Linked DNA regions of Drosophila melanogaster. The protein of the gene in region 4 interacts with the protein of the main gene of each other region in a pairwise test. Each region holds a gene or a part of one and is shown on either strand. Other genes may lie near its edges.

Evidence for each region.
Region 1: the proteins of spn-F (region 4) and Sap130 interact in a two-hybrid assay, tested with the Drosophila melanogaster proteins (one large-scale study listed by BioGRID).
Region 2: the proteins of spn-F (region 4) and Tango11 interact in a two-hybrid assay, tested with the Drosophila melanogaster proteins (one large-scale study listed by BioGRID).
Region 3: the proteins of spn-F (region 4) and CG31523 interact in a two-hybrid assay, tested with the Drosophila melanogaster proteins (one large-scale study listed by BioGRID).

Annotation. Positions count from the first base shown.
Region 1 is NT_037436.4:12,804,253-12,811,948, reverse strand, and holds the start of Sap130 (Sin3A-associated protein 130), read right to left. Parts: upstream 6,048-7,696; 5' UTR 5,895-6,047; intron 5,764-5,894; exon of another isoform or gene 5,710-5,763; 5' UTR 5,685-5,709; coding exon 5,612-5,684; intron 5,263-5,611; exon of another isoform or gene 5,082-5,262; coding exon 4,119-5,081; exon of another isoform or gene 4,064-4,118; coding exon 3,473-4,063; intron 3,432-3,472; exon of another isoform or gene 3,404-3,431; intron 3,229-3,403; exon of another isoform or gene 3,181-3,228; coding exon of another isoform or gene 1,945-3,180; exon of another isoform or gene 1,853-1,944; intron 1,744-1,852; coding exon 1,286-1,743; intron 1,222-1,285; coding exon 361-1,221; intron 302-360; coding exon 63-301; intron 1-62. Other genes in the region: CG32110 (uncharacterized protein), read right to left, coding at 1,945-3,180; Atg1 (Autophagy-related 1), read left to right, coding at 7,505-7,594.
Region 2 is NT_033778.4:21,716,238-21,721,817, reverse strand, and holds Tango11 (transport and golgi organization 11), read left to right. Parts: upstream 1-1,854; 5' UTR 1,855-1,963; intron 1,964-1,972; exon of another isoform or gene 1,973-2,134; 5' UTR 2,135-2,182; coding exon 2,183-2,737; intron 2,738-2,985; exon of another isoform or gene 2,986-3,083; coding exon of another isoform or gene 3,084-3,887; exon of another isoform or gene 3,888-4,059; coding exon of another isoform or gene 4,060-4,062; intron 4,063-4,121; coding exon 4,122-4,400; 3' UTR 4,401-5,038; downstream 5,039-5,580. Other genes in the region: LBR (lamin B receptor), read right to left, coding at 491-916; CG30398 (uncharacterized protein), read right to left, coding at 3,084-3,887. UniProt on the Drosophila melanogaster protein: May play a role in mitochondrial and peroxisomal fission.
Region 3 is NT_033777.3:4,476,179-4,480,931, forward strand, and holds the start of CG31523 (uncharacterized protein), read right to left. Parts: upstream 3,030-4,753; 5' UTR 2,884-3,029; exon of another isoform or gene 2,455-2,883; intron 1-2,454. Other genes in the region: sac (sterile affecting ciliogenesis), read left to right, coding at 4,641-4,753.
Region 4 is NT_033777.3:31,253,419-31,257,204, reverse strand, and holds spn-F (spn-F), read right to left. Parts: upstream 2,079-3,786; 5' UTR 1,963-2,078; coding exon 1,236-1,962; intron 1,168-1,235; coding exon 800-1,167; coding exon of another isoform or gene 764-799; 3' UTR 546-763; downstream 1-545. Other genes in the region: CG1750 (uncharacterized protein), read left to right, coding at 2,351-2,526, 2,582-2,906, 2,964-3,126, 3,182-3,546; mRpL32 (mitochondrial ribosomal protein L32), read right to left, coding at 3,588-3,786. UniProt on the Drosophila melanogaster protein: Plays a role in oocyte axis determination and microtubule organization during oogenesis. Also required for polarized organization of the bristle. Required, with jvl, for activation of the kinase IKKepsilon in the germ line.

The DNA.
Region 1 (7,696 bases), on a different chromosome or scaffold from region 4:
TGGCAAATACATTATCAGATTATCAACATGCATCATTTGATACAACCACTCAAATAACTCACGTCGATCGTCGCGGCTTTTTCCTAGAGGAGCAGTCATAACTGGAGCTGGAGCTATTACCAGTACCATTCATACGCGTTCCTTGTTGCATCTGCGTCGATCCCACCAAATGAGGCACCTGCTGAGGCTGCTGTTGCTGCGGCGTTGGTGCTTGCACATCCACAAAGGCACTGCTACCACTGCGGGCTCCCAGTGAGGAGTGACCAAGGTTCTGCTGAATCGATTGGTGTGATGAGTACATCTTTTGAAGAACAAATATTAAAGCCATACTTAAGCATATATTGATTGTTGTGTACACACCTCATTAATGGGATTAAAATGCGTGGAATTATCGCGCCCACCAGCGCCTCCCGTGGCTGGCTGATCGCCAATCCTGTCCTGTAATTGCTGATCCACACCAGGTGAGGAATTCGCCGACACTGTAGTTGAGCCGTCCGACGAAGCCGGCGAGTCCGCCCTCGAATTTCTCGTTGAGTTCACGGGGCCAACTGTGGCAGGCACACTAGCGGCGCTACTTGCTACACCATGGGTGACTCGCTCCCGTTCCTTCTTGGCCAGCGCCTCTACGGTCAGCCCAGAGCCAACTGATTGAGGCACTGTCACGGACACCGGCTGAATGTTGAACGTGGTGCCCGGAGCCGGTGGCATGTTTTGTCCACTGTTATTGCTAGCCATTGAAAGCAAAGTGGGTCCTAGATTTTTAGCCGCCCGTATTGGCGAACCTTCCGCATCCCGCTTGCGCATAAAGCTGGACACCAGTGCTCCACTTGCAGTTGCTTGTTGCGGATTGCCCGCTCCCGTGGTCACCTTAACGGACGTATGCAGCGGAATAACCATGTGCTGCGGCGGCGCACTATTTGGTCCTGCTGGTATTATCAATTGCTGGTGGCCAATGGTTCGGGTGGCTGTTCCACCAGCCCCCGACGGCAACACCGTAAAAGTAGCCTGCGATCCGCCGCCACCTGATCCCGCTCCGGCAGTCGCGTGACTTGCAAAGGGTAACGAAGATACCGACAAGCTGCCACCGGCGCTGCTAACCAATTGTGCCTGCGCCTGGGTGCTCTGCGTCACTGTTGTCGTAGTCAATGATAGAACGCCTGTGGAGGCGGAGGCTGGCATAGATTCGTAGTAGATTGTGGCAGCACTTCCCTTCTCATCGATCTGTATAACGATTTAGTTTTAATAGTTAATTGAAGCATCATATATGTAGATAGTTGAAACCTACCTTCATCAACTGGCTCTGTGAAGCAACTACAGGATTCCAGGTGCGTTGAAAGCCCGTCACTGTTGCCCCGCTTGTGCTGGAACCATCTGCTCCAGGGGCAGAAGAAGCTGGTGCCATCATCATCTTGCCCAAAGTGATGCCGCTTGCGTTCTTGATGGGCGTCAGAGTTCCCGTGAGGATATTACCGCCTGGTCCCACTCCCGCTCCCCTGCCACTGATGGTAAGTGGCAGGACAGTGGCTCCACCGGCCGCCGATGTGGCACCCGTCACCGAGCTTGAATTGACCACACTGGCAGAGACATTCGGCACTGGCACCGCCTGGATGCTGGCCACGCCCTGCGGCCCCATTGTTTGTCCTCCACTTCCTCCGCCAGCTGACAGTTTTCCGATGGGATTAAGCTGTGTAATAGTTAGCGATGGCTGAACCTTAGCGGTCATGGTGACAGGTGGACGAATGCCTGTCGATTGATGGTTTCAAAGATATATTATTATTATTTCATTTAATTGTGGTAGGGTTTATTCCTATCATATTCCACTTACAAAAGAACAAGTCACGAAATAATTCTTAAATTTTCAAACACTATTTTATTTTTGTTCTTATTGTATAGTTCTCAGCTCAGTTCAATCCATAAAAAAGTAAACTCTATATAGGAGAACACCTACTTCCACAGCTGGTCGCCGGTCAACTCCAGAACCATCTTAGTGCGAAAATATTTCATGTCTTTCTTGGAAAACGTTATTGGAGCATCCCGGGTTAGGTATTCTGCAAACATGCAGACGAACACGCCGCAATCGTTCATGTTGTCTTGTTGCGGCACATTTTGGGCATCCTCGATGCGAAATTCACTGGTGTCCAAACACAGCCCGAGCTTGTCCTCCGACTCCATTTGAAGGTACTTCACTAGTGCTCGCATCAGATTCGGGTCACCGCGGCCTCTTGAATTGTAGTAGAGCATTGTTTTCGCAGGCAAATCGATTATGACCAGGCACCAGTGAACGAGCATTTGGTGAACAGGCACAAGTATGAGGTCCATGCTAAACAGATCCACCTTTCTAGTCCAGCGTTTTACGCCATCGAAGCCACTTTGCAGCAGGCGGGGCACAAAGAAAGTGCTCATGGCATACACGCTGGGCACTGTACCAGGACGCTTCTCCGATCGCTCGACCAGTAGGTTCATGTAAAAGTTGATTATTTTGTCGTTGAGCCAGCCGCCACTGGTCAGGATTTTGATATCACTGCCGCAGATGTCCAAATTGAACTTGGCCACAATTACCTGCTGCAGTGGATACTTAGATAGTTCCATCAGCCGATCATGGTGTTCTTTGGTCAGCGGAATCAATTCGCTGCTGATTCTTATGTCCTCGATCACATGGACGGACTGCTTAAGGATCAGCTTCTTGTATCTATCGATTTCGCAGGCAATTCGCTCGTGTTTGGCTTTTAAACACAACTGATGTGCTTCATTCAAGCGCTTTCTATTTAACTTGTTTTTTTGATCCGTCCAACGCCGAAATTGCTCGATATAGTTGGACCTTAAAAATAAGGATCTTCGAAAGCGTCGATTGTGGCTATGTTTGAAGACCGCTGGTATGGCTTGCAGCAGTTTCGTTTTACGGTCAACTTTCTTGACCACCTTTGGTATCTCCTTATGTCCTATGTCCTCCTTTTCAACGACTTTAAGCGGTGTCGGGACTGCGGGACCATTGCTGGTTAGTTTGCGGAAAAATTTGAGTTTTTCTTGCACGGCCATTACAACGTCCTCCTCTTGTTCCTGGAAATTCTCGGGCTGCTTTAGAACTGGCATTGTCTTGGCCATAGGGTAATCCTGACACTCTTTTGTGATTAGATCAAAATATCTAGATTTCTCCACGATCTCCTTCTCGAAAGCCAGCATGCTGCTGATGATTGTTGGATGTTGACTAAACTGAATGATATTAGTTCGTAAGCTGTTGATAACAATTGAAATAAAAATTGGGTCCCCCTATTTCAACACGAATTGATAGTAGATTCTCTGCTTCCTAGATGACAGTTAACGTGGTTTATCGATAGTTTCATACTTAACAGCAGAAGTTTCAGTTTTATAAAAATTAAATACTGAATTGACTATTGCTTAACAGATTGCTAAACTAGATGACTTGCTCTTTAGTAAGCATTTTAGAGTATTCCAGTTATAAGTACTAACTTACCCATCTTAGCCGCCGCGGTAGTGCTCATCAAGAATGGCTGCAGCATCACGTTCCCGGCCAGACGAGCTCCGGATCCGATGATCTGTTGAGTGGTTCCCGTCGCTGGCTGCTGCAGCTGAATGATCCGTGTGGTGGGCAAATTAGTGGCCGTCAGAGCAGTTCCTCCGGCTCCGGGACCCCGCCCGGGTGCCACTGTTGCTCCACCGGAAACACTAACGGCCGTTGGAGATGCCGTAACGCTGGTATTCAGCTGCGGTATGCTTGGTGCCCTGATACTTATGCTGGTTGTGTTCAGCTTAGCGGTTGGAAAACTCTTGCCCAGCGGAATTGGTCGCACCTGTCGAGGTGTTACTGTCGTTCCACCGGGCGTCGTTGTTGTTACTCCGCCTGTGGGCGTGGCCACAGCAAAGCGTGGATTAAATTGCTGACCCGGATTCTGACTTGCATTCGGTGCAGACACATTGGAGGAGTAAACTAGTGTAGCCTGATGCTGCCTCTGTGGCAATACAGTAGCCACATAGGCCTGAGGACCTCCTCCCGGTCCCGTCGCCTGTTGTGTCGCCAAGGGCTGGCCAGCGGAAACGGAAAGAGCTATGTGGAAACACAATTAGGATGATGTTGCAGAGTAAGAAAAGATACAACATACCTGTTGGCGCCTGCACTGGAGTAGTGGTCACTACACTGGCATTCGAAACCCCCGCGGATGTCGTTATAATTCGCTGGCGCGGCTGATGAATGGTTCGGATCAGTTGCACCTGTCCCTGACTCTGCATCCAAGCACCACTGTTGCTGGACGAGATGACAGCCGACGATGGTTGCGATGTGAGCGCCACTCCACTTCTGCTCACCGATGCTGTTGCTCCGCGTACGAATCCTCCGGTTGAGCTCAGCACTGTTGGCGCTGTGGGCGTAACCGTGGCCGATGATGTGGCTCTCAATGGCGTGACGAGCCGCTGGCCAACTCCAACGCCAACGCCTCCCATTTGGGTGGCCGTCACACTGGCTCGCGGCAAGTATGTGGCCTGGGTTACGGGCCTGGTAACCGTGATCGATGCATTCGCCCCACTCCTCGCCGGTGCAGCTGGTATGGCTGTTATCTGAGTCCTTCCGGTGGCCGTAACATTCTCTAGCTGCTTGATCATTGGCATCACCACCCGCACCTGTGTGGACTGACCACCAGCGCCAATAGCACGGATCGAAGCTGCCGTAGTCGCTTGTCCTGCATTCAGAGCAATTGGAGTGCCACCTAGGGAAGTTTGTTGAACTTGATTGGCTGACGCCACCTTAATTGTGCCTCCGCTGAGGATCGGTGTGCCCGCAATGGATATCCCACCGCCGCCGTCGGATTTCACGTGGGTGATCTTGGCGGCCACCGCCGGGTGCGCTGCAGAGGATGGCAAATGGGATGGCAATGAGTATTTGTTTATGACGCCGCGCAGCTGCAGGGGCGGATGTGAGTGCGATACCAAGGATGCGGATGCGGATAAAGATCCAGTGGCTGCCAGAGATGATGATGATGATGATGGATATATAGATGGCAGCAATGACAACGATGGCACTGCATGGGTGTGCAGTTGTTGGGTGCGTATCTTAATGGTTTTCAGGGGGGCTGTGCGGGTGGCTACTGTGAGATTTCGGTTAAAAGCTCCACATGGAACACCAATGGACGGACAAGTGAAATTGGGGAGCTACATACATATAACATTGGTTTATTTGTTTGGCTTTTAAATTTAATAATAATATTTGTTTCCTTTTGATGAAAATTAAATATAATATAAATATACAATTTTAAAAAGATGTATGTTTCTATTTTTTAAGAGCCAAACAAGTAAATTTATTAGATAAATAACTGGAAATATATTATCTTTGAGATCAAGCTAAATAAGAACATTTTGTGGGCAGTTGGCAACCCTGAAACGAATGCACAGTAACAACAAAACAAAGGCATACAAACGCAGACGTTGCTGCGAATGTGAGGCACAAAGAGGAATAGGAAACAAACAGTGCGCGTATGCAAGAGCAAAAGAGAGGGGCACAAATGTTATGTATACATACGCATACACGGGGACAATGCTAATACGTATATACGTATGGGGATAAATATATATAAATATTCCACTTGGATATCGGTGGACTTACCTGATGGCGCTGTAGCTGTACTTCCACCGCCCACCGGCCCTCCTCCCGCGCCACCCTCACTAGGCGCACTCATTATTCCAGCTTTGATTTTGCGATATCTGAAAGACGATTTTGGCATTAGACTTCTGTTCCACGTTTCACACGATTTTCGCCTCTTCTACACCACCCGCTCTTTCTCTTCTTATCACTGCGCACTATGTATCCACAAAATCTCTCCACAAGCACGCACACGAAAACAGTCTGAGAAAGGCTGTACTTTGAAATTTTTCTTAGATAAACTTGCCTTTTTATGCTAATTGGTCGCACACATTAAGCGCAGCAAATTAGACTTGATGATTTTTACCGCGCCACCTATTAATACGAGAAGTTTTTCTTGTTTTCCGCTCTTCTTTTCACAAGGCTCAATTAAGTAGTGTTACCAGATTGAAAACAATAAGTAATCTATGAAATACTAAACGCTAGGTGTTCAGAAAAATACTCGGAAATTACACAAGTAAGGAAATACCAAAACAATTTTTTATCCGCTTAAACCGTCATTTTAGGATGATAGGTTTTTAAGCACGAATTTTATAAATCATATTAGTAATACAAGTATTTCCAACATATCATAAAATTAAGGAATTCATTCAATATTTTCATTGATTTATAGATTTTTAACTAAGTAATGCAATGTTAACACATATTGTTTTGTATATATCGTCAAAACTTTGATTTCTCTTCATTAAAATAGACACCAAAGAAGTTTGTTAAATTCAACCCAGGAGGAATGCCTACTCTTCATAGTATTGGGGATAGGTTACTTGGTGTACAGCCAATATTAGTCATTTAATTGATAGTTATTGTCATTTAATAGATTGGTATTGTGTTTTGTCTCCATTTCCATCCAGAAACTGATGATACAGCAAGGCTCTGCAGGCATTGGCATAAGTAAACTCTTTGTCCCAATTTTGTGACTTTTTCTTCATTAAAGAGAAGAAAAGTAAAGTAAAGCCAAGTAAATTGGCTTGTTTTGGTACTTTTAAACAATGGTTCACGTTTACAATTCTTCATCATTAGTTTTAACAATAATAATAATATAGCGAAATAGGTATTAGCTTGACAATATTCAACTATTATCCTCGAAAATTTGGGCCCAAAAATAAAACTAAAAGAATATAATCAAAAAATTAAGACCCATTGGTATTTTAAAGAAAGTGGTATTTTTCGCGCGGGGGCGTATTGGCGGTTCGCCACCTGCGGCCACACTGGCCAACCCACCACTTCGCTTAGTTGTGTTTTCGTCTTGCCTTTTCCACTAGTCTCTCTCGCGAAGTAGTTGGAAAAATCACCTTTTGCAAAGTTTTTCGCTGGGACCAAAAAGCTACATTTTTCAAAAACCGAAAGGAAATTACGCTGATCGTCCGTGTGTGCGTGCGTGTGTATGTGAGAGAGTGTGTGCCATCGATCCTGCAAGTGTGTGTTTGTACGCGAGTGTGGGGCCGCAAATTAAAAGCAATACCACACTGAAAACCGAGATAATCGCACACGGAAAAGAACGGTTTAATTCAATTACAAGTGAAATTAGAGTGTGTGCCCGATAATTGTCAACTGGCCAGGTGGACGGAAAAGACGGTGGTGGTGTTACGTGAAAATTTCGGAGATCGTCGAGGGCCAGAGAATCACATTTAGTGGCTGGCCAAAGGGGAAAGAAATTGATTTTCCATTTTCCACAATTGCAATTGGAAGCAAAAGCAAAGCAGAAGAGCGAAGAAAATAAAAGGGGAGAGCAAGCGTGCGTGCACGAGCGAAAGAGAGTGTGGAGCGCGAGGGGGTGTACGACTGTGAGAGAGAGAGAGGGAGAGTGGGAGAGAGCAGCACTTCCAGGCGTCGCATCCTCCTCCTTTTTCGCATGCAATGAATATTGTCGGGGAATATGAATACAGCTCCAAGGATATGCTGGGCCATGGCGCCTTTGCCGTCGTCTACAAAGGACGTCATCGCAAGGTAAGAAAATAAACTCTTCAAAACAAATAAATACCTTCCATTTACCTATATATACATATATGTATATGTATGTTAAGCCTAAACAATTCCGTCATGTTACTA
Region 2 (5,580 bases), on a different chromosome or scaffold from region 4:
AAACAAAGTCAGAAACTATATAACCTTAGAAGAATATACAAAGGGACATGATTGTACAAAAATATGTGGGTACTCAAAACTGGGTTAAAGGTGTTTTGAGTACACTTATCAGATTCCCCTCTATTTTTGTAATCAGCAGTTTAGCTCAACAATTACAAATCCGTTATCTTAGCCCGGAATTTCCTTATGGTAGCATATGAGGGCAGAACTCTAAGCTGATAAGCAGGGCGGTGGGTGCTGCTTATCAGCTTCATAAAACACACAGAAACAGAAGCTCGAAATTTGTAATAAAGGTAGGACAGTTACAGTTAATTATGTAGTTTAATTGGTTGTAACGATCGAAATTAAATAGAACTAATATTTCGCTATGCTTTTATATTGAAAGCAATTGATTTCAAAATTCTAAACTGCTGATGGTTGGAATACTGATCAAATATAGCTAAGCACTTATCCACCGGCCAGCAAAACTGGTTTGTGCTGGAGAACTCACCTCGGAAACCTCTGGGATGGGTGTGCGTGCCTTGATGGCGGCCTTGATGGGCAGCGAGGAACCAGATCCCGATCCGGTCAGCGGACCCACCGACGACCTCGGCCGGCTGGAGCGACGGGTGCGCGGGCCAAGATCGGGCGAGGGCGGTGCGACGACCTTGTTGCGTGACGGGGAGGCACGTGTCCGGGTGGCGGGACCAGCGGTGGCGGTGGCGGTGGCGGTGGCACCCGCAGCTGTCACGGAGCCCGTACGTCGGGTCACCGGCAGGAGGCTGGGCTGCTTGGACTGGGCCAGAAGTGGACCGCTGGACACGTCTTCCGTGCGACGCGGGCGTCTCAGGCGTCGATCCATGGTGTATGAATTGCGGTCGAAAAAACGTGCTGCAAAATGGATATGATCAGTCGTTGTGCTCGGCGAGTGCTGCATGTTATTTATAGTTTACAAAATACACACAATCTATTAATGTACTTAAGTAACGCTGTGGTTTTCTCTAGTTTCTTTGCTTTCTTTATTTCTCTAATTTTCTGTATTTATTTGTGTTTGCGCGCCGAAAGGAAAAGCGACGTCGCTGCCGCAACTGTACATTCCGCAGGCAGCGACGCTGGCAGAACGCGCTCTCTCTCTTGCTCTCTTCCTCTTGGCTGGCAGTTTTTAAACGATGTTTAACTTAGCTTAAACAGCTTTTAACGCTTCACAACTTAGTAACTCACTTCTGATGGGATTTATTTGTAGTTTTTCACTTTATGGGGCTATTGAAACGCCGTAAATTCAGCATAAATCACTTGATAAAAAAGACGCGCGTCTAGTTGTCGGCGGATGAGAAAATTTTGTTGTAAAATGAGCGCGGCCCACTGCGTTGGTATTTTTCAGTGTTGGCTAACGCCGAACGGCGCCTAACAGCACGCAGCGTGTCGTTAACAGTGGTTTAGTGGGCACTTTAAGACAATTTAAAATGTATTCAAGGTTAATTATTTTAAAGTATTAAAAGTACTTGTACTTATTTTTACATTCCCTTAAACATTAATCGAACCATACCAATGCGCAAGTATTATAAATCGATAGAAAACTTTTTGGAGTATTTGATCTTTGCAAAGACTAACAGTACTCATTTTATTTACATATGTAGGTTATAAAGACCAAAGTTGTCGCTTAAATCGAGTTGTAAATTATTTGTTCAAGACAGAAGAATACCGCAAACTTTTCAAGAAACAAAAACATATTAATAAAATGAATCAAAACAACTGAAATAACTTCTTAAATACCTAGTTTTCTACTGATATTGAGGTAGATAATTAATTTGGCTAAAAAGGAGCTAGAGTGCCGGATCTGTAGAGTGGAAGTAGAGTGACTGTCATTCCTGGTATTATTTAGCACATTCTATATCAATCTCCTCACACACATAACAAAAGGCAGGAGAAAAATTGTAAATTATTACGGATTTCTCGGACATTTTTCTGTCATTTCCCGAGCAATGTAAGTAGAAAGCATTCGAAAAACCCAATACGCAACAAACACACGCACACAAGCCGGACGAAAATGTTGCGCTTGCCAAATTCTGGTTATTAATTTGTTATGAAAACGTCTCTCTCACGGCCGCCTTCTACCTAAAAAAAAAAAATTGGACAAACAACGAAAAACCAAAAGCAAGTGAGGCCCATTGGATCAGTTGAAAGGATTCCCCAGGACATCGCCATGGTGACCCCGCAATCGCCGACGCCCATGTTCAATGGATTGGACGATGATCTCTACAGCGACGCCAAATATGCCCACGAGATTAACGACAAGATGCGGGTTCCCAAAAGAATAAAGGCCACCGGGGAGTATTCCAACGAGGATCTGCTGCTGTCCAACCAGAACGGGATGATCAGCTCCTGGAACTATCACGACAAGATCGACATGAATGTACCGGATCGAATTGTGGTCCTGGGCCACAATCAGCATCTGGAGACGCGATCTGCTCCGCGGGAAATCCAGCTGGAGAACTCCATTCTGCCCAAGAACCCATCGGTCGGATTGGTGCGCGTCCAGACGCCACCGCGCATTATCACCCTCACCGATCAACACTTTCCCTCGGCCTCCGAGGAGAGCTCGCCCATCCGGGCCAATGGTCATCATTTGTATGGTAATGATCTCGACGAGGACGCCGACGATGAGGAGGTCCATGCCACCCAATATGTGCGTGCCAATGGAGTCGCCCGTATGGGATTTCAAGGCAATGACACCAATTCCGTTGAATCGGACTCGCAGGTGAGTAAAATATGCCATACAAGCAACAATTTTCCTTTAGTTTTTCAATTCAATTGCAAGTGCTTGTAAATTAAATCGATGGGCAGAATGAGCAACTCTGTGATTTCTGTTAAAGAGCACTTCATTTGATGGAAGTCTAGACCCTAGCGATCCACACATGACGCAATAAAACAACCAAAATTGTTAATAGATAATAGATAGATAGCGATCACACTGCGCTTGCCACCCATTCAGTTTGCAAAGAGATTACCATGCCTGCTGGTTTTTATTGAATTCCTAATACGGCTTTGATAAGACGGCTGACCCAATTTCCATCGACTGTGTGGAAACACACTCTCACTTTTTGTTAATCGCTGGAGTAGCCGTGTGCCTCCGGTCGATCCTCGCCCTCCTGTGTATCCTTAAGGCGCCTCGCAAAAGGACGACACTTCCAGATGTCCACCTCGGTGGCCAGGCACTTGCGAAAATCGAAATCGCACAGACCCAAACTGTACGAACCCTCCATGGGCTCGAAGTAGTGAAGGCCACGGCCAATCTTAATGACCACTCCCGAGCTAAGAACGATCTTGCGATCGTGCAAACTGTCGTCCATCTGGAAATTCATCTGGATGTTGCCACCGGCCAGATCGCTCTGCATTTGCTGCAGCATCTGCAACTGATTCTTGGGCGCCGTCGCATCTGGGCGCGTAGTGAGGCGAATATACTTTAGATAGCGACAGTTCTTGACCAGCACCTCGAAAAAGTTAAGCAAATTCCTAAAGTGTGGTGGCTCCGTGAGGTGTGGCTCGTTGAGATGGGCCTCCCGAACCGCATCGTCCAAATACGGACCAAACAGCCGCTGGTAGCTTCTGCCCCTGGCACCCTGCTCGATGGTGATGTGATCCAGCATACGGCTGGTGTGCAAGTGACCCTTGACCTGATCCCTCAGCTGTTTGGCCCGCGCCTCGTACATCTTCAAATACTTCCCACACAGCTGGCGGCGACTCGGCTCCGCATCGGCCATCTGGGACAATTTGAAGATGCTCTCCTCGTAGAGTAGTATCGCCTCCATAATGTGACCCGTCTGCTCGCATTTCAGCGCGCTGATTATCGCCTCCAGTTTCGGCAGCTCGCCATCATCCACTTCTGCTACGTTGGGACTGGTTGTCATTGCTGGGATCGAAAGAAATTGGTTGGCTATACAGAAAATTTCGAGTTGGGCGTTTTTTTTTTTTTCGAATGTTTATTGCTTATATTGACACCGGAAATATTTGGGGGAGCTCTGAAAAATGACTCTTGCTTCACATTGATAACAGAAAACTTTCACAAAGCAAACACTTAACATGGTACACACATCTAAATCCTATTTGGCGCAACTTATCTTTGACTACCTTATGTGTTCCAGTTGACCACAGGCAGTGCCAGCAAGCGCTCGCAGCTGAATCAACAGCAGCACAACAACCTGGATGCCTCAATGCTGGCGCACCGAGAGGGCACGCCCATGGGCGAGCTGACGCCCCACGAGGAGATCCTGTATCTGAGACGCCAGCTGGCCAAGCTGAATCGCCGGGTGCTGAACATCGAGATCAACAATGAACAGCGCACGCAGCGGGAGAAGATCGTCTACTGTCTGGGCCTGGCCTACTTCGTTCTCAAGACAATATTCTGGCTGAATCGCAACTAGACGCAATGTAGAGCCCACTATGATGGTTAGCGATCTGCGCTGGGTGCCAAGACAACCACCTTGCTATGGACACCCTTTTTGGAACAGCTTCTTTCGTTTCTTGACTTTTGTGTTTCTTTTGTGGAAAGGCTCTGAGAGAGACTTTGTTTTTTGTTTGCCATAATTTTGTAGACTAAGCTCCGTAATAAATAAGCGCAACATCGTTCTGTTTTGTACACCGTGGAAAACGAAAAAAACAAAGGCCCCCATACTTAATTTGTAAGATCTGGCACTTAAGGAGCGTGTATCTAAATCTAAGCTTTAATCTCTACGTGTTTCATCTGAGCAGCCCCCAACACGAATCCGAATCATCACAGCAGCATTGCATTGAAAAGATATTGTTTAAAAGGGTTGTTTATATTTTAGATCTGTTAACATTTGATAATCCCAAAGTGAAAACAAGAACTTTAATGGTATTTGTATGCGAAATCCCATACGATAAATAGTTAAATATATACATAAATATAATATTATACACTAAATCCCACAGAAATCATTGCATTGATTTTTGCATAACTAGCGGAAACGAAGGAAATCCATTTAGAGTGTAGCATGAATTCATAACGATATTTAAAATAAAACGTTTAAAGTACCAAAACAAACCATATGCTTCGTTAATTTTCTACCAGGAAATAAGTAGATTTCGGTTTTCAACGCATTTAAAAAATGTATTTATTTTAATTTGTTGGTTTTCTCTTTAAATAGTACGTATAGTAATCAATTAAAACTACCGATTAAATGCAATTACATCTGCTTGTCTCATCTAACTTCCGACTTCCTCTTCTGCTATACATCTTTAGCTAACAAGACGTTAAACATTAAGTTTAATGCAAAATGACGAAAAGACCTGAGCGAAATTTCGTTCGATTCATTTGCGGTGTGTGTATTGTTTTTCGTGTATTTTGTCTGTGAAGTGGATTGTTTCTTTCCCTTTTGCCACCCGATCTTCGATCAATCGCTATCATCCAACTACTTAGAGAACAAGATGCAATTGTTTGTATCTTTTTATTTATAATGGAATTATCGTTTACTTTACACAAATAATATGCAAGGGGACTACTTTTCTCTTTCATTTTCCGAACGACTCGCCTTTCCAGGCGAAACGCCGCAGGATCGAAAAAAAAAACACCTCAACGCACAT
Region 3 (4,753 bases), about 27 Mb from region 4:
ATTGTAATATTAATGATGTTATTTGCTGGAAAGGTGAGTACATGGTACTTATAGCTTTTTACTTCTTTTTAAATAACATATATAGTTACATTTACCAAAAGATATCAAAGTGCTCTTTTATTTCGAAAATTCGTATGCATTGCATCTCTTCTACAATATTTTGTTTAACCATGCAGGATAAAGGCGATTTACCATTTTGAGGTAAATTCTTAGAGCACCATTACTCGTAAAGTATAGCCTAGTAGATTCGTTGGGAAGTATGTATGTAACACTTCTATCGATATGCCAAAATAATATTAAAGATTCTCGCTTAAACATCTACTAGCTGACTAACAGGCAAGGAACTCGACCATACAGTTCTCATTTGGTATTTAAATATAATTCATAAGATATCATTATTAGGCAAAGGCTGTATAAACTAATAACTGTAAAAATAATACTTTTAAAATTAAATACTGGCTGCATTGCCAGACATCACAGTCGCTAGTCAACTTTTCCCTTTGGAATTATAATCCTTATATTGGCGTATTATGATCATTATATATTTCAAGATATAGGTTATATCGACCGCTATATCAAATCTTTTGTTACTTAAGGGCTCTGGAGCCTAAGTATGCCAAAAGCATTTAATAAACTTTTATCATAGACTTGCCTCCTAACCGAACGATAGCTGGATTCGCATTACCATCATGAATTGGATCTGTCCATCTCACCGCCGATAACGGCACATTTGTCTTTATAGCACCGCAACAGGTGGTGAGGCTAGTTCTCTTGACTCTGACGATGCTGTCACTGTCCATCGAATGATTATGCCCACGATGTGTTAACCCCGAATGGTACGAAGATCGTGGCCAAGCATCTCAGTCTCAGACGAGAGTCTCAGGGGCCAGAGAACCCGTACGATGTCATTGTTCTTTTCTTTCTCCATAGGACAAACCGGTTAAAAAACTTTCCTCATAATAGCAGAGCCCAAAAGTGCTTATTAAGCATGCGCTGCCAAAACACATATTAGCGAGCACCTATGTACATATAAACCAGAGGACTAATACATGCGATCTCTATAACCAAGATCTCATGGACTTTGGCCGAATTTTTATGTTGGCCCGAATAATTTCAGATTGCTTGTGGGTGTGACTGATACAGCCAGCCGATTGTATAGCTCCTCTCTTCTGAGAAAATCGAAGCCCGGCAATGAGACACAATCTTGAGATTTGCCGTGTAAACGCGAATGAATATTTGGATTTGATGTGTTTTCTGAGCAATCTAAGCAGATAATGTGTTTACTGAGTCTAAGCCAGTCGCGCCAGCCAAATAACTATACGCGAGGGCCAAGGTGCAAAGCGATCAATTAGCACTTTAGCACTGCATTGTTGCAATCTATTTGCGAAAGCCCTTGACTCTACGTAGCTCCAGGTTCGCTTTTCTGACCACCGGCCAGCGGTAATTGATGCCGCACCACATTCTCCAGGTGATACATACATATGCATACATACATACATACATACACACATACACACATACATAAATTTCTGATCGAAGTATTTAGCGCACTCGTTGGCTGACCCTAAAAACCTGAAAAAATGCGAATGCAACTACATTTCTCGACGTTTCCGCATTCGGCGGACAGGTGAAACTTTTTGATTGACTGACATAGGCGGCACACCACTGCACTCCTTACCCAACAAAGGTACACAGTAGACAATGAAGACAGCGAAATGCGTTCGGCTATTTAATACTATTTAAAGTCAGTTCTCAGGATAAGGAATTAGCTGCTATACCTAAGCTGCTGCTAAAATACTTCTCATACGGAAGAAGTTGTACCACTAAAAAGAAGAAATATTCTATGTATTCGAAGTAGCATAGAAGTACCTACTGCTAATACCCGCATTCCTCAAATAATGAATTTTTTTATCTCGATTGGGAAACAATGGTCAACAATATAATTTCCATTGTTATCAACAAAATTTACTTAATATAAAATTGTATTGAATAAGTGATTCATGAATTACAGTTGTAGACCGAAAGGGTCAATTGTTTTTTACACTTCATAGAACCAGATTAATCCAATAAACAATATTTAATTCATTAAAGTACGAATAGGTTACCAGAGAATCTATGAAAACAAGTCTGGGCAATCCTTTGGAATAATAATTCATCCCTCTCACGAAGGGCACCCACGCCCCTGTGCGCTCTCTCTTAGCCACCGACACGTGTGAGCTCTTTTGCTCTTTTAGTTGGCTGTTGCTTCACGGCGACTCTCTTCGGCATCGCCTACTGACGCTGCCGCTGCGAATGGGCGTGGCGGGAAGCAGAGCAAGAAACAGTGGACTACCGCCACTTTTTTAATTAAACCATGAACAAACAGGCAATGGCGGTGATGACTAATATCACCGAATCGCAAGGCGAGGGTGGGGAGCAGCTGGAAAATGCTTTCGCGGCTGTGGCGATACTCACCTGCGAGGTATGGTGTGGAAGGGGGGGGGGGGGGTCGAGCGGCGATTGGAATGGAAGAGGAATCCCGAGTGCACACACACAAATGCACTTGTGCACGGCCACAAATACACACTCGCGAAGGAGAACGAACGCAAGTGTAAAGGGCCCGCGCTTTTGGGAATTGAACAATCGACTAGTTTCAGCTTGGGCTGGCTGCCGATGCTTTTGATACTGAAACTTCGATACCGCGGGCTGCGATGCCGATGGCTATGGCGATGGCTACAAACAACAGCAACGCCAACAAAAGACACACACAAACACCGCGTTGGATCTCACCGCACATAAAATATATCCGACAACATATCGTAACGGACTTCACCATGCAGAAAATGCGATCTAGCCCAATAAAACTATATGCGCTTCCAAAAAAATATATTAATATCGAATTACTTCTTAGTCAACTAGCCATATCTTTCGGATTTCTTGGGAAACGACGACGCGAGTGAAATCGTTCAGCAACAAAGAGAGCGCGTTTTGCCAGTCGCTTAAATATATTTTTGTACAAAACGGTCTCGCAACTTCGAACATGTTAGATTGGGTTGGCAGCAACTAAGCAGAATGTTGGCACGAGTGTTGCCGTTTTAGCATTTTTAAAGCTCGACTTAGGTTATTTGAAGCCCGCAAGGACTGTGATAGGGATTACAGATTAAATAATATTGTGCGTAAAATCTTTGTGATTTGATAACCTGCATAGAAGGTACCAAGGAAACAGAAAAATAATATGGATCGTCGCGACTATACCCGTATACCCTCAGCCAAATGAAATGCAAAAGCATAAATTGACTGCGAGGGGAATACTTTTCACAGGCCGTTAATATTCTTTGAACTTGTAGTTAACTTTAAATAAAGGTTTCTGTGGCAGGATTGTAATTTTTGGCATGTTTAATTCTACACTAAATTAACTATTTGATTTATTTGATTTCTTTACCAAATAATTTGAGCTAGACATAATCTAGTTCTGGCTGTTCCGTTTCTAGATAATCTAGATCTGGCTATGGAAAATCTAAAAAGGCTGAACTGAGACGAGGCAAAATGATCTTTGTGGATTCCGTTCCGGAAAGAGTGACCGAATTTCGAGAATTCGGTACTTATCGATATTATCGGAACCCATTATTTAGCATTGTCATCATAAAAACGATATTTAGAGAATGTAGAATGTTAAATGTTTTTTAATATTTCTTGTAATCAAAACAAGATCGAGTTCCCCTACTTTAAAAGTCCTGTTACTCAAGTCGTATACTAAGTGCGAATGAGAAATTCCAACATTCTTTTAGCAGATCGAAGGAAATTTAAAAAACAAAATAAACTATTTAAAAAATTTTTCAAAAGCGTGGGAGTTTTGGGCGGTTTGTTGGTGTTATAAGGGACGAAAAACAGACAAAAGTCAGAGGGTTCCTCGACTTTGCGAGCGAGATGTTGCAAAATGGTATATCTATAGAAATTCGCATTACTGCGAGCGAGATGTTGCAAAATGGTATATCTATAGAAATTCGCATTACAATCAAATTACTTTGTAATTGTGACAGTGAAAGTCTCGTGAAGTCTTGCGTGTTAGCGTCGTAGTTTGGGGCGGCTTGTTGGCCTGTTCAAGAATATTATATTTTATAGAGTCGGAAATGCTTCTTTTTACCTTTATCGAATTTAGTAAAACCTTTTACGGCAAAAAAAATAATTCTCATAAAAGTGCGCTAAATAATAAAAAATGAATAAACAACAACGGAAGCTTGAAATTGAAATTAAAGATTGTTCAAAATTAAAAAAATGTAGTAAAAAATGTATACCAAATTAAACGACCAAATTTTACATTCGATTGTTCATATGGCTATTTCGACTCGGTTGTTCATACTGATCAAGAAAGTATAAAGTGAGCTTTATATGGTCGCAAATGCCTCATTCACTGCGATGCAAACACCTTACTGAAGTCAATGTATCCTTTTGGAAATAAAATAGTTTACATATAATTTAATAAAAATATTAAATATTGCTGAGACCGCCATATTCACATTAATTTTATAAAATCGAATTTTTTGGTTTAATTTGACTAAACAGCAGTAATTAATGCTCGGGCTTTGTAACAATCAACAAATACACTGCTTTGAAAGGAACGCCACTTTCTCATTTAAATCCACTTTAACAATATATTTCATATGGATCCGGAGAACTTAGAGGTGGGACAAAATTATGAAGGTTCCCAGGAATTCGATGAGAGCAGCACCAGCTCAATTAGCAACAAGGGCCCGGATGACAGTCAATTCAAGCG
Region 4 (3,786 bases):
TAACGTAATAAAGTATCCACGGGAGCTGCCACGTGCCTGTGTCTTAAAAATATTTATTTATCAAACTTATTAGCATAGGCAAATTAAAATGTTTCCTTAAGCTAAATTCCTGCTGCGACCCACTCCAAATGCATTAAAAGAAAGTTAGCTCTGAGCATTTGCATTTGTATTGCTATCAATGGCAAATCTTATGGTCAATATTTTGGCAAATATTCGCATTGAATGACTGGATCAGCCCGATTAGGCACACGTTGCCAGTCGGGTTTCGACTACGTCATAGCCAAAAAAACAGGGAAATCCTCTGACCAGTTACAGCATAATGGCCTCAAGCCAAACTTCTTTGTCGAATGTTCCACTCTTCCCCCAAAGTGTGTGACTCACAGAAAAGCTGCCAATTAGATCGGATAATGACCACAAGCGATGGTAACATCGATCGTCATCTTTGATATTACAATATTTGTCAGCGCTAATAATATAATATTTATGTTGTCCACGGTCCACGATTTCACTTTCCAACCAACCGAAGAGAGCGCTCAACATGTTTTCAGGCTTTTCATTTAAACTGTATTTCGTATTCGGTCACTTACATCTATATATTCATGCACTCTCCGCAATTATAATACAATATATATATATTTTTTCTTAAAGTTCAATGTTGTATAGTTTTGATACATGATCGCCCTAACGTCTTATCAATAGAAACGTAACAAGCGGCTCCTGCGCAGTCAAACTGCTCCTTAATCCTTGGATTTCTCCGGTCAGGTCAGAGTTCGGTGGCGAAATAAATGCGCCTACTGGGTCAGAAGTCACCCACAGCATGGGAAACGAACTCAAACTGGCGCTCAATGCTGTTCTCCGACTCCAGTTCCAGTGCATCGTCGATGAAGTGCATCTCGACGTGCTCGCGGAACGCATTGAAGGACACTTGGCTGGAGTACTGCTTGCCGCACATAGGGCAGGTCTTCTCCATTGCGTCGGCTGCATCTGCTTTGATTTTCTCTTGTATTATGTTAATTCTCTGGCTGGGCGGCGTGCCATTGTGTCCATTGTGTTGGCTCTCATAGTTCTTCAGCTCGCTGGTCAGGCTGTCGTCCGTTTCCAGACTTTTGTCGGCCATCTCCGGTTTTTTGATGGTTTTCTGGGCACATTCCGGACAGGGCTTGAGTGCTGCTTGCACATAAAACAGGCGTTAAAAGTTATTTTTTTTATAGCATGAATTCCATTTTGTTGCTTACCTATGCGATTTTCTAGCAGAGTCATTACCGATCTGAGCTCCTGCTGCTGCTTCATGGCCTCTCGCCTCAGCTCCTGCAGTCCATCCAAACATCTTTTGGCATCCACATTGGCATCTGGTTCACTAGTGGTTTCCTCCACCTTTTGCAGGTTGTAGGGGTAACCTAGTTCCTCACTGCTGGCACCGAAGTCATCCAGGGCTATTTCCTCCAGACTGAGATCCTTAATGCCGTCGGAGAGCATCTTTTGGCGAAGGTGAGGATTGGGGGAGTGCTGCGTAAAGGTCTTGGAGCGCACCAGGTTCTGGTTTTGCTGGGCTCGCGAGTCTGTTGAGCTGGGCAGTGCGTTCAGCTGCTGATCCTTGGAGATCTGCGATAGGCGGGACCAGAGCCGTCTGTTCTCGTTGGATACCATGCCAATGTGCTCCTCCAGCTGCTCCTTTTGGCGCTGCAGCTCAGAGACCTGTGCTTTCAGAGAGAGGACGTCCCCAGTGACCCCGATTTCGTTTGCCCTTGGAGCACCTTCCGACCTGCTGGAGGCCTCCCTTAGCTGCTGGTTCTCCTCCTCCATGCTGGCCACGCGGCGCTGCAGCTGGATGCACCGCTCCTTGATCGTCTGCAGCGCCACTTGCAGTGCGTAGTTCATTTTTTCACTGGAGGGGGAGTTTGTGGATCCGGAAGCGGACATGGAACTGGCCATAGGCGTGATTTTGGCAGCAGATGCCTCCATTCTGCAGTATTGGAGTTCCTTGGCACTTGATCCCAAAAATATACGTTTTCCTGTAGATGTTTGATTTTCCAAATTTTTATTGCGTTCTCATTAGTATGACCGTGCGATGAACTTAAAAAAATAATATACACTATACCGATAGTCTATAGTCACTGAAGACAGATAAATAAAAGTAAAGTAATGTATTGAGCTAAGTTTAATTACTTAAACAAAAATAACGACTCTTGATCTTATAAAGTTAGACCACCATTTACATGGTTGAAGACGATAGGTTCAACAGGTTTCACTCTATCTCAGCATTCCTATTACGTTATTTGGTAGAGTGACCAGCTGGTATCGCGAACAGCTGTTTTTGTTTACGCTGCATTATTATCCAACAAATTTTCCGATGTTTTGCGGCAAGAGTTTAGTCAATAATTTTTACAAATATAAGAGAAAAGTGTGGCAGAATGTAATCCCAATTGCACAGCGCTGCAAGGGAACTTACCACCCTCCAAAAATTCTCTTTTTCGGTACCGACAATTTTTCCTTGCCCAGCTTACAGGCGCTACACAAAAACTGCGGGTAAAATGTTTTAAACAATAATGTTAAATTGGATTAATAAGAATATTTTTCTTAGTGATCGTTTGGGAGTTGTTACCTCCTTCAAAAGTCCCGCCAACTGTGTGAGGACCTACGCGGAAAAGGAGAAGCTTCCCCTGCAAAAGTGGCCCATAGATCCTTCTGTGTGTCCGCAATTTGATCTGGGTGTGGTGGTCTCCTTTGGCCACCTGATTCCTGGTAGTATCATCAATGGATTTCCTTATGGGATGATCAATGTTCACGCTAGTTTGTTACCCAAATGGCGGGGAGCTGCTCCCATCATATACGCCATCATGAAGGGAGATGCCAGCACTGGAGTTTCCATCATGAAAATCGAACCTCACCGGTTCGATATCGGTGATGTAAGTTCATTCTTATCTTACCATTGTATGCAGTAGTATTGACGACTTATGCTTTAGATTTTAGCTCAGCGAGAAGTGGCTATTAATCCCGATGTCTTCATGCCGGATCTGCATGCATCTTTGGCGTCGCTAGGAGCCGAGTTACTTGTGGATACTATTAACAACCTATCAGTAAGACTTAAGGAAGCCAAACCCCAAGATAGTTCAAGGGTCAGCTATGGTAAAGCATATCTAAGCACTTCGAGAACCTATATAAACTATATTTTTGCCTTCAGCTCCCAAGATTACCAGTAAAATCACAGAAATTATCTGGTCCGAGCTGAGTGCCATTGAAATATACACTCGTCATCGAGCTTTGTATGGCTACAAAAACCTTACAACCAACTTTTTGGGCAAGCAAGTGCAGTTGCTGGAGTTGCGATTACCGGAGAAGAGAGTTCCCGTCCAAGAACCTGGTGCCATCAGCTACCTAAGGAAGTCGAGATCCCTCATAATCGGATGTGCTCAGCAGAGTCAGTTGGAAGTGCTTCAGTTACGCGTGGAAGGTAGAAAACCTATGAGTGCCCAGGACTTTAACAACGGATTCCTGAAGCAAGCAAGGTCCTTATCCTTCACAGAGAATAAAATAGCATCGATTTGATAACGAACGTGTGGATTTAATGCACAATGGATGCTTAGTATCTAGGCCAAGTCGGAGGGCTTGACTTCCTTGGTTTCGGACAGCTGCTGCGTGGATTTTTGGAGCAGATTCTTGGTGAACCACATGGGACGAGGCTTCTTCATCTCCACGATGCGCTTGTTTTTCAGATCATCTGTGGACTGTTCGGCCTTCTCGCCTTCATAAAGAACGATTACTTCCTTGTCCACGGGATCTAGACCG